Linked DNA regions of Drosophila melanogaster. The protein of the gene in region 2 interacts with the protein of the main gene of each other region in a pairwise test. Each region holds a gene or a part of one and is shown on either strand. Other genes may lie near its edges.

The links. Proteins that work in one complex are often made in the same cells at the same time.
Region 1: the proteins of CG6398 (region 2) and OS9 interact in a two-hybrid assay, tested with the Drosophila melanogaster proteins (one large-scale study listed by BioGRID).

Annotation. Positions count from the first base shown.
Region 1 is NT_033779.5:19,965,136-19,968,232, forward strand, and holds OS9 (Olfactory-specific 9), read right to left. Parts: upstream 1,376-3,097; 5' UTR 1,342-1,375; coding exon 1,285-1,341; intron 1,226-1,284; coding exon 683-1,225; 3' UTR 529-682; downstream 1-528. Other genes in the region: CG10680 (uncharacterized protein), read left to right, coding at 1-146; Hf (helical factor), read right to left, coding at 1,812-2,375, 2,439-2,519.
Region 2 is NC_004354.4:17,828,861-17,833,834, reverse strand, and holds the start of CG6398 (uncharacterized protein), read right to left. Parts: upstream 3,008-4,974; 5' UTR 2,515-3,007; coding exon 2,389-2,514; intron 1-2,388.

The DNA of each region.
Region 1 (3,097 bases), on a different chromosome or scaffold from region 2:
GTCCCCTTGGTTCCGGGGGCTCTTCTAACAACTTTTACCGGAGCGAATCCTATAGCTACACATCGGATGGAAGAGGACCTCCCCAAATCGAGCGGGATGTGTTCGACTCGCGGGATGGATTTGGATCATCTTATCGCAACTTTTAACACCTTTCCTAAGAGAAGCTGATGAATGAAAGTTCCGAGTTCTCAAAAACAACTAGTTAAGGCTGCTAGAGATTATACTGACTTGTCTGTGTGTAATGTAAAGATTCTTGGCATTACAAATAATCAGTTATTTTACTTTCCGCACGGTTTATTTATCAGACTAAATAACAATTGTATTGAATAGAAAGTCAGTAAAACTTTCAAAGCTATTGAAACCTGACAGCTTACAAATCTAAAAAAGGTATATTAAGGTATTCAATACCTTTGTAAAATGAATTCCACATTTCTTACGTCATACCTGCACTAAGTAGTAAACACTTACTAGCGTATTTATTATATGCTCATTGATTGTTAAATCAGCTGCAATATGTAATCAAATTTTAGCTTCCGGCGAGCGTGCTAATACAAAACATGAACTCTGGACTACTGGTTTTGATATTTGCAAGGCAGTTTCTGGAAATAATATATACGTTCGGACTATGTATCTGTAGTTATTTGGTTTAAACTTAAATGTACTTGAAACATGATATGTTTATTCAAATGAAATCAGAGTTGGTTAACTTGTCCAGCTTCTCATAGACATCCTTTTCGTTCTTAAAGTCATTAAACTGCTTGACCATCGCCGCGTTCCTGGCCAACCGACTGTCGGACCATGTGCTCATGTATTTCTCCACCTTCTGCTCTACGATTTTCAGAGTAGTTTCCAAGTTTCTTTCCAGGATCTGCTCCAGGTCCTCAACTCCGTGCTGTATGAATAGCTGAACGACAACCTCGTCAGCTTCCGATTCGAATTCTTTGCTGCCTGCAATCGAAATGATGCTTTCCAGTTCCTCAAGAGCATCCTCCAGTCTGTTCAGCTCGAATGAATCATCGAAGTCCAGGGTGTCCAAGGCCGCGACGAAGTCCTTAAGCTCCCTGAGAATGTGTCCCTTGGAGTTTGGTGGTAAAATGAGTTCGGCCTCGTCGATGACCAATTGAAAGACATGTCGTAGCTGTTCCATGGCGTCTGTTACCATTTGAAAGAGTTCATTGGACACTTCGAATTGTAACTGCCATTTGTTAATGAGAGGCGCTGCAAGCTGAAAGTTAAAGGTTTCTGTTGATTCCAAAAGGATATAAGCAAATCTAAGGATCTTACCGAAAGCTGGAGGGCAGCTACAGCGACTAGAAAAGTCCAAGTTAGTCTGCTGGCCATGATTTGAAACTGTATCTAGTCTCTATCGAACTGATTCCTTTTATATTCCCTCTCTTAAATTCACAATTTTTATACAAAATGGGAGAACGCCTCCTCTGTAATGAATACCCACTGATCGTGAGACAACGTATAGACTGTAATCAGACTTCAGAAATCGGTGAGCGTGATAAGAACGAGTGCTGCCCCTTCGTATATTAATTAGTGGGTAGTGGAAACCATGCATTTTGTTATTACAAAGTCGTATATAGTTCCAAGTCACGATAATATCTTTATTGCTTTAAAGTATCAGTTCTCGATATCTACACATGTTGATCAGACAGTCGGAAATTTTCCGGAAGTTAAACGGCATTTTTCAGGAATAAAGTCCTCGTATAAATAGATTCCGAATATTGTTCTTTGAAGTACATTTCTCATTTTATTACAAACACTTTCTAATTCTATGATATTGTTTAAATATTTAGCTATTAATCTTAAGCCTTCGTCCATATACCACTGGCCACCCCCTGCACCAAAGCCTGAGCCAATTTGGTGTAGTCCATTAGCTGGAGCTCAGGAAGTTGGCTCTTCAGGTTCTGGGGAAACTCCAAGAAGGTTGTGATCAGACTGTCCTTGGTTTCGGTGGCCAACTGGGTGACGTTGGAAACCAATTCCGACCTGTCCTGTCGACTGAGTCGCAGATACTTGGTAAGATGCGGCTTGACCTTGGCGAAGAATCTGCGGATGGCGATCTTCTCGCCGGGAAGAACCTCGACGAGCAACTTATCGGGAGTCTTATGGTACATGAGGTCGCTGTTTATCCAGGCGAAGATATAGAATGCAGTGCTGTAATAGTCCTCGTTCCCAGCAACCAGGTCGAGCTCCTCGAAGTACTGCCGATCGATGGTTTCGTTGGCCGGAAGACCCGGTAGTCGTTGGCGGGCATCTTCGATGGTCGTGTAGAGCACCTGATTGAAGAGCCTCTCCACCGCTTGAATTGTATTTCTCACCAAGATGGTAGGGCTGCGTTCTTTCACTTGGGATGAGTCCGCCAGAGCCTGGCAATCGAGAGGAAAATCAATAAGTTCCTTATCTAATCCACTGCCGACTCACCGACTCACCAGACAGATAAGACCCAGAAGCATCGAACAGCAAGTGCTGCCGCCGATAAGAAACCTCGAACTGCGCCCTGATCTCGCCATGCTCCTCTGATCGCTGCTCGATTTAGACTGATCATGTCGGACGGATGCCAAACGGTCTCCCCACCCAAACAATCTCGACTGGCTTAGGTTTTGTTTGTTTTATTAAGCGCAAGTAGAAAATATCTCAAGTACTGTTTATACGAATTTCGTAGAGTGAGCAAATTAATGGCCATTAATGTTCGTTCGTGGTTTTCTATTTAAGCTAGCTAGGAAAAAAAGATGCCGTCTAGTCGAATGTTAGTAGTAATCTGCATACACACGAGTAACATTAACAATTAGATTTGTAAATTACACATCTTAGCATATACTTAGGTTATTAGCAAGCTACTGCATTCTCATATTGATCCGGACTATATGTATATATATATTCATATTCAGCATTTGTAAATTGGCTTGTAACGGGAAGAAAGTCGTCCGGATAATCAAAATATGCTCATTCTTTTGTACACTTACAACATTTTCAATCTGATCTCTAAAGGTTGGTAAAATCGAAAAAGTGTTTTTAAATAAATTTAATTGTAAAGAAAAGAGTCTGGATTACCAAAACATCCTTAATAATTTGTACAATAACCATATTT
Region 2 (4,974 bases):
AAGGGCAGCCTGCAGGCTAAGAAAAGGAAGAATTAAACTCTAAACAGTATGCAATCTAATGTACATATACCAACAAGACATACAATTAAAGATAATATAAGATATAGGGGTATTTAAAGGAAAGTAACAACACAGAGCTTCCTTTTCCACCATAATAGTTTCCATTTGACTTCTTTCGAAGAAAACATCTGTAATTAGCTAAAGAAAGGTTGGAAGTGATGATATTCTGACACCATCATCATGATTCCCTCGACTGACTCCCCCGGATTCCCATTCTTTGAGTAGCGCTCATAATCGCTGTGGGTATTTAGTTCTCCACTCCCCTGGGGATGCACTTCATAGGACCCTAGGGTTTCCTGTGGCCAAGTAGCCCATCTCGAGTTACCTGCTGCACCTGAGCGGTTCTTCAAAGGCTCTTACAGGGGCGGAAATCGAAGGAGAACGGAGATATGGAGATGGAGGAGATGGAGGTGGAGGAGGAGGAGGAACAAGAAACGTGGATGGGGAGAAGGGAGCGATGACCCAAAATGGGGGAGGTCAAGGCAGACGATTGCTTCTAATGGCTTTATAAGTGCCCAGGCTCTGAAGACTTCGACGCTGGGCGAGATTCGAACGAATCTCACCGCAATTATCGTTCCCTCGATTCCATTGAAACTTTCGGATTAGGCGACAAAGTCGAAAAACGTGCAAATATTTTCAGCACACTTTGAGTGCTTTTCTTCCTCTTCTTCAGCTTTGTTTTTTATTGTTTTTTTTTTTGTTTAGCTAACTTGTTTTGGTATGATTGGTATGCGCACGCACACCGCCGCGATTTTACACCTATTTCTATAGAGCTCTCCGCATCTAAAATTCTCTCGGCTGCACCTACAAGACGGAGTTGGATTTTCTACAGTGCCACTTCATTAAGACAAACTGCTGCTTATTTGAAAGAAATTAAAACACACATATGCTGCGATTGCTTTCGGCCCTTTAAGAGGCGGATTATAACTGAGATTTCAGTTAGCTAGTTGTATTTCATAAATAGTGAAGTAACCAACATAAAATTGAAAATTAGATTACTTGGAAGAATGGGAAGTGTTGTAATCCGCAGTTTGACTGTATTTGCAATGCAAACTGTAAAATTGTGTACTCCTTCCACTTCACCGCCCCTTTCTTCTTTTTCTGCGGCCTCTTCTGCCTGGGCTCTTCTTCGTTTTTTCGCTTGGCTAAGCGCTCGCGTAGAAAGTTTGAACGTTAACGGCCGTTGCCCATCCTCCACAGGCCCCTCTCGATCAACACCGCACCACTCCCTCCCTTCTTCCCTACCCACCTCCTTCCAATGCCAGTTGTTCGTGTATTTGCTTTCGACCTTTCTTCTTCTCCGCCTTGCCCTTTTTCTTTTTCTTTCGGCCAAGCACAAAACGAGCGACTGTTACTGTTACCTCCGTTTGTTGCTGTTGCCTTCGTGGTTGCCTCTCCGCTCCTCTCCTCCCTTTTCACCTACTCCTCCTCCTGCTTCTTTTTTCTCGCCCTCCTACTCCGCACAGTGGGCCGCGCACACCTGTATGCAGTGCACAAATGTCAGCAAGTGCATCTTAATTACATATCTTGTTTATCTAAGCATCGCTATAGATAAGATTCTCGGAAGAGGACGGATTTTAAAAGATATGCAAAGATGTTTGTAGAACTAAATGTCTCCTACTATTATTAGTAAAATATAATACACATTATTCTCTGGACATAGTCGAACGGGCTTAATTCCTTGGAAATTATGGAGATATTCGTTCCGGTTTTAATATTAATTAAGTATGAAAACTTTAATCCTTATCGTATTTATTTACTATGCTTCCAATGGCATTTGTGAAATGAAGCCACTTATTTTCAAAATATATTTAATAATATAATATAGTACTCTGCTATACTTTCCAGAAGACGAAGTCCTAAACTCTAGCAAGTTATTTTCAACAACTAATATCTATTGTATAAGTAGGGCCTAAATTAGGATATTTTCAATTTCCCTACCCATTTTAAATATTTCCATTGTATCGTACCATTATATCGTTGTCTTGCACGACTTTGAACCCGATCTTTTCCGATTTCTTAAGCTATTGCCTAATCCCAGCCTGGATCTACTTTAGCCACATCTCTGGGACCAATGTGCAGAGCTCGTAAGCGGAGCTAAAGCTCCGTCTTAAGCGGGAGAGTCTTCGGCTTTGGTTGTAACTCTGTCTCTGGCTGTGGCTTCTGCCACGCAGTCGCAGATGCACCGTATATTTCGGTGGCGCTGGCTCTGGCCTTAGCTGATTATGTATTCCAAGCGGATGGGCCTTGGGTTAATTCGATTCGTAGCCCCCACCTTCTCTGGCACTGAAGACTAAAGACACTGTAGACTGCAGATTGAAGACTCACCTGTATCTGGTTGCGCCAGACATCGTAGTGCAGCCAATTATCCGTGGAGAAGGCGATCGCCAGCAGGGCGGTGGCGATGATCGCGCAGATCGTCGCTATAGATAGGGTTACGGCCGAGCAGGGCATGCTGGTGTTTTATTCCGGATCTGTTTCGAAATCTCAGCTATTTTGGGGCTATGATACGGGATTTATCCAACGAAAATCCCCGAGAAGAAAACAACAACTACAGTTGCTATTATTTTTCTTTCGTTTCGTGATCTCTAGCGTCTTCGACGTCTTCTTCTTCCGCAGCTAGATTCTGCCGCTTCTTCTTGAACTGCTACTGCTGCTGCACAAATACACAGTTAAAAGAGCAGCAACCAGTTTGGAAGGCACAGCAAAAAAAAAGCCAACGTTCGTTAAAAAAAATAATAATTTTAGCAACGGGCCAGCACTAACACACTGACACGGGCTCCACTGCACACGCTCACAACACTACACACACACACACGCACGCCGGCGAAGAATCTGAGCTGGAGAATTGAGAACGGAGAACTGAGAATCTGAATCTGGGCAGCAAAGAGACGGAGAACTGATAGCCAAGACGTTGTGATCGCAACAACGTTCGCCAGCGGACTGAAAATCGTCGGCGACTGAGCCAGACTTCAGGTAATACCAAATACCCATATACCATACCCATACCCATACCCATAGTCTCAAGTCGCAGTCGGCGTCTCAGTCGGCGTTTCATTTGAGCGCTTTGCAATGCAACCGGACTGAGGGGGGAGGAGAGTTAGGAGCAGGAGGCAAGGAGACGGTGCCTCTTCTACCTGCTGGATAAAGCAAAAACAAGAAAGGAGAGACTGTTTCGGCAAACGAACCATGGAATACCCTCACAGAATGCTTATATCTCTGCCAATTTGAGGCGAACTTGATATGATCTTTCATAAGCTCATTATACATTTATGTACGAAGTTTCAGATTTTCATATTCGATAACGTAAGATTTGTGTTAATTGTGACTTTATGTTAACGCATCTACAAAACCCAACACTGGATAATCCAGATAACAAAACGCGATGATAGACAAGGCAAATCATGATATCCCGTAAACACATATGCCCAGTTGAGATTTGCAGAAATAACGTTAGATATATAAGAGCTAGTAACCTTTTGTTAGGGTATACGAAAGGCAAACAACAACAAAGCAGCAGCCTGTTGATCTTTTCGTATGTTTGTTTGGTATTTGGTATGCGGTGCTGCCTGTGCAATGGAGTCCCAGTCCCACTGGGCAGGAAGGTAGGACGCGAGGCACACAGCCACATGGGCGTAGGCGGTGGGCTGGAACTCGAAGGGGGCGTTCGAAGGGGTGTGCTGGTGCTCCCATATCTCGACCGTATCGCAGTTATGCCACGCCAGATCGTAACTCTGTCAAAACTGAGCCACATATTTTATTAGCAAGATATTGGAATCAGGCTCCTAAAAACAAATACCCATTACACTGAAGGATCATAATTGGAGTTTCTGCGGAATGTGAATATCATTATTTGACACGTCAATATCATTGCCTGCACACCCATTTAAACGGTTTTGTTTTTGAGCCTGAATAAACATGCATGAATTTGCCTATATCTAAAATGGTTCATTTGAAAATCGACTTGTAAGAACAATGCGTCCAGCTGATAGAGAGTCATTAACTTCTGGGGCGAGAATTTTTTGTATATTCAAATGCCTAATCTGAAATTCCGCCCACATGAGTGCGATTAGTTCGGCCTTTTCCACCGCCCGCTGCTAATCAGGGCGCAGCCGATTTCTCGCAGTGTGCAATTGACCCAAAGATGCTGCGACTGCGCAGGTAAAAAATATATACACACAGACATCTCGTGTACGGACATATCCATATAGAGATAGGTGTTTGTGTTTGTGCGGCATTGGCATCTCGCTGCGTCTACTTGCTGTTGTTGTTGTTGATTTTCATCGGCTTTAATGCCTTTGTCTATTTTGGGTTTCTGTTTATGGCGTGGGTTTTTCTCAATTGCATTTTTGGGCGCGCTCTCGACTGCAGCAGCAAAAGCACAGTGGCGGGCAGAGAGATAGCAGCGTTTAAGAAATTAAGAAATATGCATATAGAAAATCGCCTAAAAACTGAAAGAATTTAATACCCTAAAGAGGTGCTGTTTGATTCATTTTTAAATGTATAAATTGGATACGCTTTGCTATTATTTTGTCCTATTTTTCATCTTTAACGTGATACACATTGATTATATTAGTTCTAGACCATGAAATTCCCAAATTTTAAAGACGTACGCTTTAAATGTACCATGTTAATTAGTTATTCTCTGGCAAAATGTAACAAAATTGGAAACTACCATATTGACGGGCATTGTAAGTGTCGTATGTGTGAGTGTGGAAATACCAGAATTACCTAAATAACAACAAGAATAGCCGTGCACTTATAAAGCAATGTTTGTAATCGGATCGCATTGGCATGTTGGCCAGTTGAGTTCAGTTCTCAATTGCTGGCCAAAAGTTTTTGGCCCCTCGAGTGTCTGACTGTCAGTCAGTCTGTCTCTTTCTGCGCCCCATTACCCCTCTCCCTCTCTCTCTC